2 linked regions of the Stegostoma tigrinum genome follow. The protein of the gene in region 2 interacts with the protein of the main gene of each other region in a biochemical or structural test. Links are inferred from orthologs where the notes say so. Each region holds a gene or a part of one and is shown on either strand. Other genes may lie near its edges.

The links.
Region 1: the proteins of raraa (region 2) and nuclear receptor-interacting protein 1-like form a complex in vitro, tested with the Homo sapiens proteins (4 studies listed by BioGRID). The link is inferred for Stegostoma tigrinum from reciprocal best matches to the Homo sapiens genes RARA and NRIP1.

What each region holds. Positions count from the first base shown.
Region 1 is NC_081365.1:8,055,004-8,063,042, forward strand, and holds the start of nuclear receptor-interacting protein 1-like, read right to left. Parts: upstream 3,371-8,039; 5' UTR 3,334-3,370; intron 3,326-3,333; exon of another isoform or gene 3,084-3,325; intron 2,752-3,083; exon of another isoform or gene 2,657-2,751; 5' UTR 2,579-2,656; intron 2,332-2,578; exon of another isoform or gene 2,271-2,331; intron 1-2,270. UniProt on the Homo sapiens protein: Modulates transcriptional activation by steroid receptors such as NR3C1, NR3C2 and ESR1. Also modulates transcriptional repression by nuclear hormone receptors.
Region 2 is NC_081384.1:11,679,600-11,688,592, forward strand, and holds the start of raraa (retinoic acid receptor alpha-A), read right to left. Parts: upstream 3,291-8,993; 5' UTR 3,183-3,290; intron 1-3,182. UniProt on the Homo sapiens protein: Receptor for retinoic acid. Retinoic acid receptors bind as heterodimers to their target response elements in response to their ligands, all-trans or 9-cis retinoic acid, and regulate gene expression in various biological processes.

The sequences.
Region 1 (8,039 bases), on a different chromosome or scaffold from region 2:
CTCGACAGACAGCCATATAGGGCCACCACAGCTACATTAAACATGGGGGAAGGCAATGACTAACTGGTATTATTGATGGCCTATTAATCCTGAGACTGCCATCCTTACCTGGTCTAGCCTACATGTGACTCCAGACCCACAGCAATGTGGGTGGCTCTTAACTGCCCTCTGGGCAATTAGGGATGGGCAATAAATGCTGCCTATTCAGCGATGCTCTTATTTTGGGAATGAGTAAAGGAACTTCAGTTACTGTGCAAAATAAATCACTCACCACAAAGATACTGAGCACAATACACAGCTTAACATACACACAGTACAATAGTTTTGTTGTCAGACTAATAGTCCAGAGAGAACAAAATTAAATTTCACCCAGAGATAGCAAACTCACTCTCATCATTGTAACTAAATTGACTTCTTTTTAAAAGAAATCTGAAAATAACAAACTAGCACTAGTAAAACAACCATGGAGCTGTCAAGTTTGTATTAAGACCATATTCATGTTCACTTACACGGTCAATCTCACAAGGGCCAGGCCTAAATGTGGCTCTGGACACACCTGATAATTCTCTACAGCTCCGTCTTGTTTTCTGACAAGATACTTGGTGTCATTAAATCTTCATGAGGTCAACTTAACAACACATTCCCTTGGAACCTCGGGATGGGTAACAAATACCTGTCCTGTCAGCAACATGCGTGATGAAATAAAAAGGATCCTTTCTGTTTCATCGTGACAATACTTTGTGCAGTGCAAATACTGTAGGGATAATAAACATTACTCCAATATTTCAGAAGACTAAAGGACCCATATACAGCAGGGAAATTCAAAATTTAAAATTAAGTTCTATGTATTTAGCATACTAGCTCACCTTAACTGGGACTATAGTCAGATTCAGAGTTGGCGGAGTTTCCTGTTCTTGATCATACTCCAGTAACACTCTGTGTGTGTGTGTGTGTGTGTGTGTGTGTGTGTGTGTATGCATGTGCACGTGCACACATACACACATGGTCAAGTTTACAGCGACCCAATTGATTACAGAGGCACGAAGTCAACCTTAAAGACACCACGCACAGCCAAAACAAATGAGAAGACTAATCCACAGTTACATCCAAAGTTAATAAGAAAACACTTCTCAGCAACACCTTAATCTGAATGTTCTCATCCTCATCTTCAAATCCTCCCTGGCCTTGCTCTTCTCCTACTTCTGTGATTCTTCGGGAAATCTGCCTACTTGCTATTCTGGCCTCTTGGGCACCTCACACTTGCTTGGTGGCTGTGTTTTTGGTGGTATGGTGCACAAGCTGTGGAAATTGCCTCCTGAGCCTCACCACGTTTCTCCCCGTCCTTGTTCAACACATCTATATCCTTGACCGAGCTTTCGGTCCTCACCCCTGGCATCCTGCGATGTGCCATCGCTTCAGTGTCCAAGCACGTGCCTGCCTCGACAGTCTCCTTCGAAATGCCTTGCAGCATTTTACGAGGCTTAAGGCACCATACGAATGCAAGTGGATGTTGACTTGAGAAAGCCTTTGAACAGTCAAGAAGGAAAAGAAAGGTGTCCGGGGAGGGGGGGGAGCTCTTCCACTGAGGACATGAGGACGTAATGGTGCCATCCACAGTGCACTGAACCACAGGCTGACAATGGTCAGGAATCACAATAGGTACCTCTCAGAATTGGGTGGAAGAGAATCCTTTCAAGGACAGGGGGCTGGAGGGAGAGGGTTCAGTGTTACTGGGAATGGGATAAAACAGAATAGAAAGTGAGTGGGGGTCAGAGGAGAATATACAGAAACCAAAATCTCAGCAACTGAAGGCCATTAAATACAGATTTTATATAGATATATAAACATTAAATTAACCACACACTGAATCAATAGCTTGTGGCTAATATAATTCAAATGATTCGCCCTGTAGACTCTGTGCATTGACCACTGACCACATTGAAACAACTTCAGAGCAGTCGGTTCGAAACAGTCCAGTTTACAAATTGCTAACACCAGCTCTTTCAAAATGGGCATTAATAAATTCTTTATTGTTTAAAAAAAAAGATATAACCGAAACGCTAGCAACTCCCAGTCAGTACAAGTCAAAGGCTGGAAAAAACAATGCTGAGAGGCCCAAATATCAAAATGTGGTATATAAATACACAGAGACACACACATACACAACACAAACCGGCTAAAGAATAGCGATATTAATTCTTGAACAACACAATGCTTTTTTAAAAAAAAACAAGCGCATGATAAGTGGTTCCAAATCAACAAAGGCTCACTGATTTCCCCTCCAAATGTCAGTGGGTTAATTGTGATGAAGGTAGATGCTTTGTATTGACGGCCTCTCTGCGGATGGAGGGTTTGCATGAAGAAGGAGGCGGAAATGTACAGACAGCACTGGAGATCGCCAAACAGAAATACCCTGGGATTGGGGAAAGTGAGAACAGCAGTCCAAGTCAATTTCACCAGTCGGAAATTAACTTGGCCCGCGATCCAACCCATCCTCTGCGTCTTTTTTTTCCTCAAAAAATAAATGACATACAAACAGATCCAGAATACGTTTTAAATAAATGATTGGTCCTCTTACCTGATCTCCCCCTTTTTTTATTTGGTTACACAGCACCTCCGGGAATCCCAGCCAGAAATCAGGAAACGCTGCAGTTTTCTTTTTTTTTGCAAATGGTTACAAAGGAAATGTCTCAGCTTGTTGTTGCTGTTGCCTTGTTTAATTCAGGATCAGCGACCAATCCTTCCCCTCCACCGCCCGCCGTCCCAAGACCCCCTCCCCACACCCTCACAAACAACCCTTCCCACTAACACCCCCCCCCCCCCCCTCCCCACTCCGCACCTCACCACCGACAGACACTGGATTCAAAGGCCGGCTTCAGGAATACAAAGTAACGTGGGTTGCAAAATGTATCTCCTGGAGCGCCCCGCGATCCAACATTTTGTGTTAAAAATGAAAGAAAAAAAACGCAGGGGGACAGATCAAAGCAAAGGCTTAATGATGATCAAGAGTGAAATTAATGCTGGAAGATTGGGGCAAATAATAATTCTGAAGAGGTTCTGTCTCTCACCCACAAAACACAAACCTTCTCCGGTCAAGCTATAACAGAGAATGAGGCAGTCCAGGCCGACCTAATGCCTCGGCACCTCCCAATTGAAGACATCTAGAAAAACACACACACACACACACACGACACAGTACAGGCTAAAAGCTCCACCACTCAACACGAGCAAACTCTGGGATTCAGACTGCCCCACAGAGCGTAGAGCTTACAGTATTTACTCAACCTCATAGCTCCGCTGACATTGCAAACCCTCGCCAGCATATTCTCTCACCAACATTTTTCGTCCTGCTCACACACCACCCCGGTCCCTTCTCTCTGACTTCTCCCCCCACCCCCTTAATTCGTCTTTCTTACGACCCTTTGTGTTTCTCCCTTCGCCCTCTCCAGTTTCCAGCGCCAGGAAGCATTTGCGTTTGCATAGCGCCTGTCGCGGCCACACGCCGGAGTGTTTAATTCCCGGCGTTTTACTGAAGGAAGGATGTTGAAGCCCCGGAGAGAGTGGAATGGAGACTTACTGGAATGAGTAATTTTGGAATCAAAGGGAAGATTAGAGAAGGAGCAAATTATTGCAGATGCTGAGTGCTGAGCTGAAAGCCAATAACAAAGGAGCTTGTTTTCTTTCCACGGATACTGCCTAACCCACTCCAATTCTTGTTTTCATAAAGAGTAGAGAGATTGAGCTTATCCTCCTTGGTGCAGAGAGGTGACCTTATTGAGGTTTTCAAAATTATGAACAATTTTGACAGGGTAAAGGGGGATAACCTGTTTTCACTAGTTGGTAGATCAGTAACTAGGGGTCACAATTTCAAGATTGTCAGCAAGACAGCTAGGAGAGAGATGAGGAGAAACTTCTTTACTCAGAGAGTTGTTGGGATTTGGAATGTGCTAACCGGGAGAGTGGTGGAGGTCGATTCCATGGGAGGTTTCAAAAAGGAGCTGGATATATATCTGAAAGTGACGAATTTAGAGGGCTACAGCAACAAAGCTGGAGAATGGGATTAGCTGGGTAGATCTTTTGGGAGCCTGTACTCACTCAATGGGTTGAATGGCCTCTTTGTGTACTGTAAAATTCTATGACCTCAGGACTTTCAAAAGCCTCTTCATGGCAAGATGCGGGTATGTTGCTTTTGTGTTACCCTGTTTGTCACATAGGGAACCATTTAGACGCACAGCAAGCTCCCACAAACAGCAATAAGATAAAAACCAAAACAACTGTGGATGCTGTAAATCAGGAACAAAAACAAAGTTGCTGGAAAAGCTCAGCAGGTCTGGCAGCATCTGTGGAGGTGAAAACAGAGTTAACGTTTCGGGGTCCAGTCACCTGAGGAAGGGTTATGAGGAAGGGTCACCAGACCGGAAACGTCAACTCTGTTTTCTCCTTCACAGATGCTGCCAGACCTGCTGAGCTTTTCCAACAGCAATAAGATTACGGTCTGTGCAAGTGAAACTGTGCAAAACAACATTAAACAGGGCAAATAAGGAGAAGTACCAACAGAACCTTCTGGAAACACAATGGATCAGGCAGCATCTCCAAGGCTACAACCCCAGTTCGTAATCTTGCAGTTTTACTGATAGGTCTGGGACAAAGAGAAACTAGTCTAGGAGAGACGATGTAACTATTGTCAATTGTTAAAATAAACCCGCTGAAAAATCCAATGCAGGTGCTGGGAATAAAAAACAAAGACAGGAACTGCTGGAGAAATGCAGTTGGCCTGGCAGCATCTGTGGAGAGAACGCAGAGTTAGTGTTTCAGGTCCAGTAATTAACAGTGATAAAACTTAATTTACAAAGGGAAAAGGGGTTACATTACAAAACTTAAACTCTGTTTTTCTCTCCACTGATGTTGCCAGACATGCTGAGTTTCTCCAGTACTTGCTGTTTACATTTCAGGTTTTCAACAGCTGCGGTACTTTAGTTCTGAAAATTGGTAGAATTTTGTTTCTGCTGTTATGACTTGGAGAAAATTGCCTGAAACTGCATGTTTTATAAATTGTGTGTTGTTTTCACAGTTAATGTGCTTTTACTTTCATTCATGGGAGTTATTGATTAGGCCAGTATTTATTATCCTAAGTGCAGTGAAGAATCAACCCCACGGAATCACAAGCAGGTCAGACCAGATTAGAATAACAGATTTCCTTTTCTAAAGGGTATTGGTGGATCAGATTTGTTTTAAATCAACAATTCAACAGAAGTTACATGGTCATAATTAGACGAGCTTCTGATATTGCAGATTCCGACTAAATTTCAATTCCACTATCTGGAATTTGAACCAATATGTAGGTGCTGAGATCACTAGCCCAGTGACATTACCACATCTACTCCATTAAAAGGCTGACAGCACGTTTGATGAGAGAGACATAGTTAATGTTTCAAAATCCCTCTCCTCGGAAGAAGTTACGCTAGAGGCAAAATGCGAACTTTGTTTCTCTCTCCACAGACATTGCCAGACCTGCCAAGTTTCACTTGCGCTTAACAGTTCATGTTTAAACTCTCCAGCATTTTGTATTTAGTTTAGCCCCTACAGTGTGGGATAGGCCATTTGGCCAAACAAGTCCACACTGACTCTCCAAAGAGCATCCCACCCAGACGCACACCCCCTACCCTATTGCCCTTGGCTAATCTACTTAACTCACTCATTCCTGGGCACTATGGCAAAGCCAATCCACCTAAACTGCACAAGCTTGGGCTCCATACAGATAGTTGCCTGAGGCTAGGATTGAACCCAGGCCTCTAGCACTGTAAGGCAGCACTGCTAACCTCAGCCACTGTGCCATCCAACGTCTACAAAAATTTGCAGTGGCCTTTTGTGACACGCTCAGCTCTGTGCTAGATGGTTATAGGTTTGAGACCCACTCCTAAGACATGGGCTGCAGCCTAAGGGCCATCCTGCAATGTTGGAAGTGCCTGCATTCGGGTAAACATTTAAATTGAGGACCTGATTGATTCCTTAGGTGGATTCTAAAAACTTTCATAGGCCACTTCGTCAAAGGAGAAGCCCCTAGGTGGCCTGGCATTTATCCTCAAATCATATCGTTCCAGCCAGAAAATTGGGCCTTTCCCACCTTATTGCTTGTGAGACCTTGCTTCATGCAAAGTCGCGCCATGTTTTGACCATTTCAACAATGGTTGCCCATCAAAAATATAACATTTTCTGTCAGATGTTGCTATCACACTTTCCTTCAATCAAACACCACAGTTAACTCAACGTTGAGCAAAAGAAGAGGTGGTGTGAGGCACTTGGGAGGGAGAGTGGCTGGTGGTGGTGTGAGCTAACACCAATAACCCAGATTTATTGTCAAATAATGAACTGTGAACAGTGGAAGTCTGCGACAAAACCAGAAATTGCTGGAGAAACTCAGCCAGTCTGGCAGCATCAATGGAGACAGAAAGCAGAGTTAACGTTTCAGGTCCTGTGACCCTTCAGAACTGGCAGACCTGAATCTGCTTCAGAATCCAGGCACCTGCACTAATACCCAGGAGACAAGCATTCAAATGCCACCTGGCAGCTGGAGGCATTTCAATGGAATTCATAAATTCATCATCAATAAAATTCTAAGGTGATTTCGACTGATCATGAATCTGCCAAATTATTGTTTCAAAAACTCCATCTGGTTCACTAATGTCCTTTAGAGAAGGAAATCTGCCATCCTTACCTGGTCTAGGCTACTTGTGACTCCAGACCCACAGCAATGTAGCTGACTTGCAACTGACCTTGGTACAGACTGAGCAAGGCACTCAGATCAAGGGCATGTGAGCATCAAAAATAAGGCCAGGAGGAGGCCATTCAGCCCGTCAAGCCTCCTGTACTATTCAATTGCATCATTGCTAACCTGATTGGTCTCAACACTCCTTTCTTGCCTGCTGCTCATATGTGTTGACTCTTTTGTTGATCTAATCTCTGTCTTGAATGTATTCAATGACTCAGCCTCCTGGAAGGAGAATTGTAAATATTAGTGACCCTTTGGAAGGAGATAAATGTTGGCCCCGCCAATAACATCCGCATCCAAGAATGAATATATAAAAATCCAAAATGTGACCTGGATCTGGAAAGCTGTTGTTTCCTCTCCCTGCAGATAATGACACACTATTCCCACTCATGAAAAGATCGAGAGGCCACAGACTTAAGGCATTTGGCAAAAGAAGTAAAAGTGAACTGAGACTAAAAGAGTTTCACTTAACAAGTAATTAGGGTCTGGAATGCACTGGTAATGAAAGTGTGGTGGAGGCAGGTTCAATCAAGCTTTTCAAGAGGTACTTAGACTGTTATCTGTAAAGGAAAGTTTAGAACATAAGATGCAAGAGCAGAAGGAGGCCATTCAGCCCAATAAGCCTATTCTGTCATCCAATAAGCTCATGGCTGGTCGATTAATCCACAATTCAATTTTCCTGCCTTTTCTCCATAACTTTTCTTTCCCTTATTGATTAAAATTCTGTCCATCTCTCAGGGGTTTTGAATCTGTGGAATTTTCTATTGAGGCTGGGTTATTGTATATCATTTATTGTATATTATTGTATTTTGGGATGCAGTGGGGGGAGGCCCATTTTGAAGCTTGTGAAATCCACATTGATAAAACCAGCCCAGCTCATCCCCGCCTCCCTAACCTGTTCTTCCTCTCACCTATCCCCTCCTCCCACCTCAAGCCGCACCCCCATCTCCTCACTACGAACCTCATCCCGCCCCCTTGACCTATCCCTTCTCCCTGGACTGACCTATCCCCTCCCTACCTCCCCACCTACACTCACCTTTACTGGCTCCATCCCCGCCCCTTTAACTTGTCTGTCTCCTCTCCAACTATCTTCTCCTCTATCCATCCGCAATTTGCCTCCTCCTCTCTCCCTATTTATTTCAGAACTCTCTCCCCCTCCTCCTTCTCTGATGAGGGGACTAGGCCTGAATTATCAGCTTTTGTGCTCCTGAGATGCTGTTGGGCCTGCTGTGTTCATCCAGCTTCCAGATTCTCCAGCATCTGCAGTTCC
Region 2 (8,993 bases):
AAAGGTCAGTCTAGATCACAATAACCATTCTGGTACACAGCCATACAACAAAATAGGGTACTACCACATCACACGTGATCTGTATGACTAAGTATCACACCAAATGCTATACTGAACTACTAGGGAAATATGAAAGACAAAAAACTGCGAAGAATGCAGCTTTGCAAAAGTCTGTAGGCATGTTCTTTTCCAAATGTGCACTCTTAAAAAATATAATGTATATATAAATATTTATGATTAAACCAAAATGAATAAAAAGTTGTGTGCCTTTATAAAAGCATAGTCCTATTTCAGACCTTAGAACATAAAAATAGAACACATAAAATAAATGCAATAAGCTTTATGCATCAAAAATATTGTATTGTAACAGAACTTTTTTTTAAATAAAGTGCAACAATTATTCTATCACATAAGATACAAGATAGTAATTTGAAAGGAGAAATGTTAACCAAATTACTGGAAAGATCTTTAAACACAAGTGCTTCCGATATAAAAATACTTACAACTTCAAGTTTAGCTTTTTTCTGCTAATTATGCTTCTGTATGCGTCCAAACGCATGTTACACAAGGATGTCCAATGATGCTCATGACAACAGTAAATGTCATTGCTACTAACTGACAATGCAAACATAACTTCATCTCCTGAGAAATTCTATCACCAGTGTAGTACAAGCAGAGAATCATAGAGATGCTATGCTGATCACAAAATATTAAACTCAGTGGGACTCAGATGATGTTGGAAAATGCAACAATGTTCTGCAGTTTAAAATAAATTATCCCAACTAGACAATGAGTTCAGAAACTTGAAATCACTCAAGGATATCAATGATGTTACTTATCTAAATTAGGTTCATAGTATGCGTTTAGAAATTTTTCCAATCCTGATCCGTTCTGAAAGGTACTAACCTTTGGAAGTCAGAAGTGCATGAATACCAATAGCATCTGATGCCTCAACTGAATGGCCATTCAACATGCCAGCACAAAACACTGATCCCTGACCAACTTTTTGAACACAGAAGGCATCGCACTCAATATAAACCAGACCTCACTGAGCACCCAACCTACTTCCATCACAAGGCAGGACAGACTTCAAACTCTTCCCAGCCCTCAATCAAGGGGTTGAGGTCGACTATGATAACTCGCACTCATCCTGTTTCAGCAGGAGCCAGTGAAGAAACCTGCAAGTTTTGGTTGTGTGATCCAATTTTTACACAGCAAGTAAATAAACTGGCTGGTGAATATTACCATCTAAGGTTTTTGCTTGTTTGTTAACTAGTGAGCCCATGTTGGGACAGCGTGCCTTTGACATCAGGTGAAAACACAGTGACAATCCAGATGCCAGTAACGTACTAACTCTCACTGCCCAAAACATGGATTAAAAACAACTTCAACAAGGCATCAGGCAGTGACTGGCATCGGTGGAGCCAGATCACAGTAAAGTGCTGACTACCTTCAGGGGAAGCAAACACAGGTTACTTCAGAATTCATCTCTTCACGGGCAGTTTCTCAGGATGACACATGTCCATTCTGGTTGGATGGGATCAGAGATTTCTGACAAATTCAAAATGCCATCTGCAGATCCTGGCATAGGTGGGGTAAATAGTGTTTGAACAGTCAGATAGATGACTTGTTTCAAGATTTGTGTGCATCCTCTGAAACATGGACTTTGACTCCGTATGTTCCCAATGAAATCTCTCAATGTATTCACTGCCTTCTCTTGTGGCCTTTCTGTCATGACCGAGTTGAAATGGGGCAGTTGCTTCAGGTGTCCGGTGTCAGGTACACAAACAATAGATCCTGTCTGGTGGAGCTGATTTTGAGTACTACATGTCTCAATGCTAAGCGAGTTGACTTGAGGTGGACACTACAGTTTCACCTTTTCATAGGATCATAGAATCCCTACAGTGTGGAAACAGGCCTTTTGGCCCGGCGAGTCCATATCGACCCTCAGAACATCCCACCCAGACCCATCCCCCTATAAACCACCTAATCTACACATCCCTGAACACTACGGGAAATTTAGCACGGCCAATCCACCTAGCCTGTACATCTTTGGACTGTGCGAGGAAACCAGAGCACCTGGTGGAAATCCACGCAGACACAGGGAGAATGTGCAAACTCAATGCAGCCCGAGGGTGGAACCAAACCCAGGTCCCTGGAGCTGTGCGGCAGCAGTGGTAACCAGCATGAAATCTGCAGGACAAGATATCCAGAAAAAATTTTTTCATTGCAGTCACTGGCAAAATGCAGGAAAAGTGGCAGCCAATTTGTGCATTGCAAGATCCCACAAACAGCATTCCTATTGTGGCTAGATCATTTTTTTAATTGATGATGATCAAAGAATAGTTACTGACCATCCTAGGACACCAGGGAAACTGTTTAAAACCTAACTGAAGGGGCCAACAGGGTCTTGGTTTAATATTGTGATGTGAACGATGGCATCGGTGACAATGCAACACTCCGTCAGCACTGCACTGGGAGTGTCAGCCTATATTTCACTGAAATCCTGGGGTGGGATATTGGGCCTAAAACCTTCAGATTCAGAGAACAGATCTTAAAAGAGGGGAGAAGAAAACAGATGCAAAATAGTGGAAATGCACAGACATTCACAATTAACCATGCAAATACTTCAGAAGAAAGCACAGAAAACATTCTTTGCAACAACTCACTTCAAAAGAAACTGACAAGTAAAGTAAAACTACCCCGTGGGTGAGATGCCTGGTTTTTGCCTCAAACTATAAATATTTTCCACAAGATGACTGCGAAAACAAACATTTTTGCAGCTAAAATCCACTGGGAAATTCAAAACCAGAGCTAATTGCTGATAAACCAGATAAACTTTTAAAAGGAAGAGACCATCCTCTTCCAGACCCACTGGGACAGTTTCTGGGGAGCTGCTGCTACCTTTGATAAAGTTTCACAGGCAGGATTTAAATTTCTCCCTGGCTACTCCTAGGCCCCGCCTGGGACATCCTGCAGCCCCGCCTCTCGATTTGCCTCTTCCCCGCCTCTCGGTGAGTGCCGGCTGGGCTGCCCGGCCCGAGGAAGCCCCGCTCACGGGAAAGTTGAGAGGGTAACGCCGGCAGCCTCGGTCCCCAACCCGGCACCGAACCAGATACCGCCCCCCGAATCCCCCTGCTCCGTGCCTGTCTGCGAGCCCGAGGGGGTCTGTAAAAACTCACTGTCTGCAGCCGGCAGGCGCCTGCGACTCAGATCCGGCGGCTCCTCAGAGACGCTCCAGGACAACCCGGGACCGACCGCCCGCCCGCCGGCCGGAGCTGGCACCGCTGGGTCCTAGTGCCCTACCCCCTCCTCCTGCCTGTCAGAGCTGGCACCGCTGGGTCCTAGTGCCCTACCCACGCCTCCTGCCCACCCAAGCTGGCACCACTGGGTCCTAGTGCCCTACCCCCTCCTCCTGCCCAAGCTGGCACCACTGGGTCCTAGGGCCCAATGCCCTCCTCCTGCTCAAGGTGACACCACTGGATCCTAGTGCCCACCAGCCCACACAAGAACTGGCACAAGTGGGTCCTAGTACCCAATGCTTTCCTGCCTGCCCACCCACCAGAGCTGGTACCAGGGGGTGCTAGTGCACCCCAGCCCACACACCACAGCTGGCACAAGTGGGTCCTAGTGCCTGGCAGAGCTGACATCACTGGTTCTCGTGCGCACCTGAGCAGATACCACTGAGTCTGAGAAAGCAGGAAATGCAGATACTGGACTGTCTGAGATAACAGGGTGCAGAGCTAGATAGAAGCAGCAGGCCAAGCAGCATCTTAGGAGCAGGAAGGCTGACGTTTCAGGCCTTGACCCTTCTTCAGAAATGGGGGATGGGGAGAGGGTTCTGCAATAAATAGGGAGAGATGGGGTAGCAGATAGAAGGCAGATAGAGGAGAAGGTAGGGGGAAGAGGAGACAGACAGGTCAAAGAGGCCAGGATAGAGCCATGAATGTAGGTGAATTAGGCAGGGAGGAGATAGGGAGCCTCTGCCACCATATTTACTTCTTTAACTGTGAGCCTAACCCTCCATCTACTGACCCCTTCTCCCACCTCCAACACACCCTCTCCTCCTGGACACCACCCCAAGGCCTCCTACCTTCCCTTGACCTCTTCATCTCCAACTGCTGCCAAGTCATCAATCGCCTCAATCTCTCCCCCACAGAAACTGCAGCCCTCCACTCCAATCCCAACCTCATCATAAAATGCGCGGACAAGGGAGGCGCAGTTGTAGTATGGCACACTGACCTCCCCATCACTGAGGCCAGGCAACAACTCTCCGACACCTCCTCCTAACCCCGCCTTGATCATGCCCCCACCCCCAACCACCAAACCATCATCTCCCAAACCATCCACAACCTCATCACCTCAGGTGACCTACACCCACAGCATCCAACCTCATCATTCCCTAACACTGCACCCCTCTCTTCTATCTCCTTTCCAAAATCCACAAAGCCTACTAGCCTGGTCAACCCATTATCTCGGCCTGCTCCTGCCCCACTGAACTCATCTCCACCTATCTCAACTCCATTTTCTACCCCTTGGTTCAGGAACCCGCTACCTACGTCCGTGACACCACCCGGGCTCCACCTCCTCCAGAACTTCCAATTCCCCAGTCCCCAAACACCTGTTTCAGTATGGGTGTCCAGTCCCTGTACACCTGCATTCCTTATGCAAATGGTCTGAGGGCCCTCCCCTTCTTCCTGTCCTGCAGGCCCGACCAGTCCCCCTCCACTGACACCCTCATCTGCCCAGCGGAACTGATCCTCACCCTCAACAACTTTTCTTTCAATCCTCCCACTTCCTACAAACAAAGGAGGTAGCAATGGATACCCCCATGGCCTCAAGCTACACCTGCCTCTTTGTAGGTTACGTAGAACAGTCCCTCTTCCATGCCTACACTGGCCCTAAATCCCACCTCTTCCTCCATTACATCAATGACTGTATCAGCACTGCCTTGTGCTCCTATGGAGGAGCTCAAACAGTTCATCCACTTCACCAAAACCTTCCTCCCCAACCTTAAGTTCACCTGGAACATCTCCAAAACCTCTCTCTCCTTCCTGGTCTCCTCTGTCTCCATCTCTGGCAACCACCTAGAAACCAATATCCATTCAAGCCCACCACAGCTACCTAGAATACACCACCTCCCACCCACCTTCCGGCAAAAACGCCATCCCCTATTCCCAATTCCTTAACCTCCATCACAACTGCTCCCACAATGAAGCATTCCACTCCCGTACATGTCAGATGTCCTCATTTTTCAAGGACGGCAACTTCCCTCTGCCCTCAGTGGGCAAGAACGCCCTCAACAGTATCTCCTGCATCTCATCCCTTACATCCCCTCCCCGCAATAACAACCAAAACAGAATCTGCCTCATCCTCACATACCACCCCACCAACCTCTGGATCCAACACATCATCATCCAACACTTCTGCCATCTGCAATCTGCAATCTGACCCCACCAAAGACATTTTTCTCTCTCCAGCTTTATCTGCCTTCTGAAGGGACCACTCTCTCTGTGACTCCCTTGTCCACTCCACACTCCCCTCCCATCCACCACACTCATCACTTTTCCCTGCAACCGCAGGAAGAGCTACACCTACCCCTACACCTCCCCCCTCACCCCCATCCAAGGCCCCAAGAAGACTTTCCACATCAAGCAGATGTTCACCTGCACATCTGCCATTGTGATATACTGCATCGTTGTGGCCTCCTCTATAATCGGGGAACACCAAGCGGAGGCTTGGGGACCACTTTGCAGAACACCTACGCTTGGTTCGCCATAAACAACTGCACCTCCCAGTCACAAACCATTTCAACTCCCCCTCCCATTCCTCAGACAATGTCCATCCTGGGCCTCCTGCAGTGCCACATTGATGCCACCCAAAGGTTGCAGGAACAGCAACTCATAATCCTCTTGGGAACACTGCAACCCAATGGTATCAAGGTGGACTTCATAAGCTTCAAAATCTCCCCTCCCCCTACCGCATCCCAAAAGCGGCCCAGCTCATCCCCGCCTCCCTAACCTGTTCTTCCTCCCAACTGTCCCCTCCTCCCACTCCCATCTCCTACCTACTAACCTCATCCCGCCTGCTTGACCTGTCCATCCTCCCTGGACTGACCTATCCCCTCCCTGCCTACACTCACCTCTCCTGGCTCCATCCCTGCCCCTTTAACTTGTCTGTCTCCTCTCCACCTATCTTCTCTATCCATCTTTGATCTTCCTCCCCCTCTGTCCCTATTTATTTTAGGATCTCCTTCCCCTCCCCCATTTCTGGAGAATGGTCGAGACCCAAAATGACAGCTTTCCTGCTCCTCTGAAGCTGCTTGGCCTGCTGTGTTCATCCAGCTCTGCACCCCATTATCACCAAGTTATACTGCCTGCCAGAACTGGCACCACTGGGGCCTAGTGCCCACCACCTTCTTACCAAATCTGACTCTGCTGGGTCGTAATGCCTGTCAGAGGCCATAGCACTGGGTCCTAATACCCACCATCCACCTACCAAAGCTGGCATTGTCAGGTACAAGTGAATGGCGGTCTTCCAGTACAAGCAAAAATCAACACTTGGGTCCTTGGGCTCTCCTACCATATGCTTTCTGGAGCGAGAAGTGCTGGGTCCCAGTGCCCATTCTCCTGACTACCTGCTGGGGTCTGCACTGCCAGGTTCTAGTGCTCATTGTTCCAGCCAGTTCGAGTGGGCTCTACTGGATCCTAGTATCTGTCCCCCTGGAGAGCAGTTGGGCTGGCACTAAAACATAGTAGTGCCAGTTCTTGCCAGAGCCGTACAGCTGGGTTCTAGTGCCTGCCTGTCTTTGCACCTCCCAGGGCCAGCACTGCAAGGTTCTCGTCAGTCTATTGTCAGCGTGAATGGGTACTAGTGTACACCTGCCCTCCTGGTTTCAGTAGGACTAGCAACCCTGTCTTAGTGCAGCATGGTCCTAGACCCCGGCCATTTAAGCAACACGGATTGGTGCAAGAGCTAGCCTACCCCTCCTGGGGTCAGCTTGTCTGGGTTCTATTGACTGACAATGTTATAGCTGTTAATTCCTAGTGCCTGCCCACCTGTCTGCCCATGCAGGTGACTCCTAATGCCAGTTGGATCATCCACTTCTTCACTGCAGGGCCCTAGAACTCACCTCCTCCAGTGGAAGTTCCTAGGGCCTACACACACTGTCAACAGAACTAGGTCCTCATGCATGCCAGAGCTGCAATTTACAACAGAATACATCTCATAAGCAAGGACCATCTCATCCTGTGATAGGTAACAGTTCAGTTCAAGTCACAGGAAAGCCCCTGTTGCTGTTAGCCATCACACCCTAAGAGGAAAAAAATATATAAATTTAATATCAAAGTTTTTTTTAAGAAGACAGTTACATTTGGTGATTGGCAGCTTGACCTTTATTTGAAGTTTCAGAATTCCATTCTCAAACCCAAGATTAATGGCTGCCTTCTATTATAGCGAAAACTGCACTATCCCATACAGAAAGGTTTCTGTAGTCGTGTTCAGTTAAATACAAATCACTACTATGTACAATAATGTCTCAAAGTACTTGTGGATTTTTCATAAAAATTCCACAGATAAAAAAAATTTCAAGCCAGTGTTGAAAAGTGTTCATATAATATAATTCCTGCAGAAATTTTCCTTCATCTTTTTAGCTCATAGAGTGTTCAGTTAATACAACCATAAAAGTCAAGAATTCCCTTTCCTTAATTTAAAAAAGGGGCAAGGTTGGTGAAGAGGACAGATTTTACAAAAGAATGTTAAAAAAAGGATTCCCTTTCAGTGATGGGAACTATAGATGTCCTCCCTAGAGCAGAAGAAGTGAGAAAATGCAGAGGGGAACTTGGCAGCATTAAGGGATTTCTTTGAGTGTGCTATCCTGTGTTCATTCCTTTTAACGTGTAAATAAGATGAGTTAATTAGTGTTCAACCAACTTGCATATAACCAAATTTATTTCTCTGAAGTCTTGCCACACACTGGATTAATTTAAAATAGCCTAGAGGCACTGTGTGATTACAAACACACCACCCATAGTGGAGACCCAGTACTGTCCTGTCTCTCTCATCTCCTGACACGTTTGAAGAGTTTAGTCACTTCTCAAACACGTTGTCATGGTGACTGCCAGATAAAAGCAAATTGGATAAGAAGCAGAATATTTTCCATACAAACAGGTTGACAACAGCATGCATTTGTGTAGTGCCTGGTAATGGCAAGGTTTTTCAGGGCACTTCACAGGAGTGTTTTCAAACAAAATTAGACACCAAACCATGTAAAGGGGCTCAATCAAAAATTTAGGTTTTCAAACTTAGTTTTTAAAGTGGACAGAACAAGGGAAAGGCAGGAGAGGTTCAGAAAGGGAATTCCAGAGTTTAACATAGGTGTAAAAAATTAAATGTAAAAATATAAAAACAATCTTGCTCACTCCGCTTTACTAAAACAGATGCTGGTTTCTCAGCGCCACTAGAATATTTCTTTCAATGTCACCAAGGGCTTATACTATTTGGTAAGGGACCACTGAAACTAGACAAGATAATGTTTTTTAAAAAAGTCATAAAAAACTAATTAAACAAATCAAACTGGATTCATTTGACACTTTAGCACATTAAACACTCAATCTTACTACTTGTGTGTAATGAGAAACTCTTGGTGTAAGGAAAAGATACAATCTTAAAAGTTATTTACTTGCATAAGAACCACTCACAAATAATCACCCCCTGAAGGATTCTCCTTAGTTCCAGGACTCTGGGATAAAATTTTTGTCTCTTAGCTGCAGCTGTTTCATTCTTTTGCTCCGGTTGCTTTCCAATATTTCCAAACTGAAGACCATTATAAATTTCCCCTTTTACCTTCAGAGTAGGCAGTTATCCATTTTCAGTTCCCTCAAGATTCCAATTGGGATGAAGCCTCACCAGCCTTTCACACAGTGAATGAAGAGGTTAGCTTACTTCAAAATAAAACCATGCAGTCCCAGACTAACACTTCAAATAACTTCTCC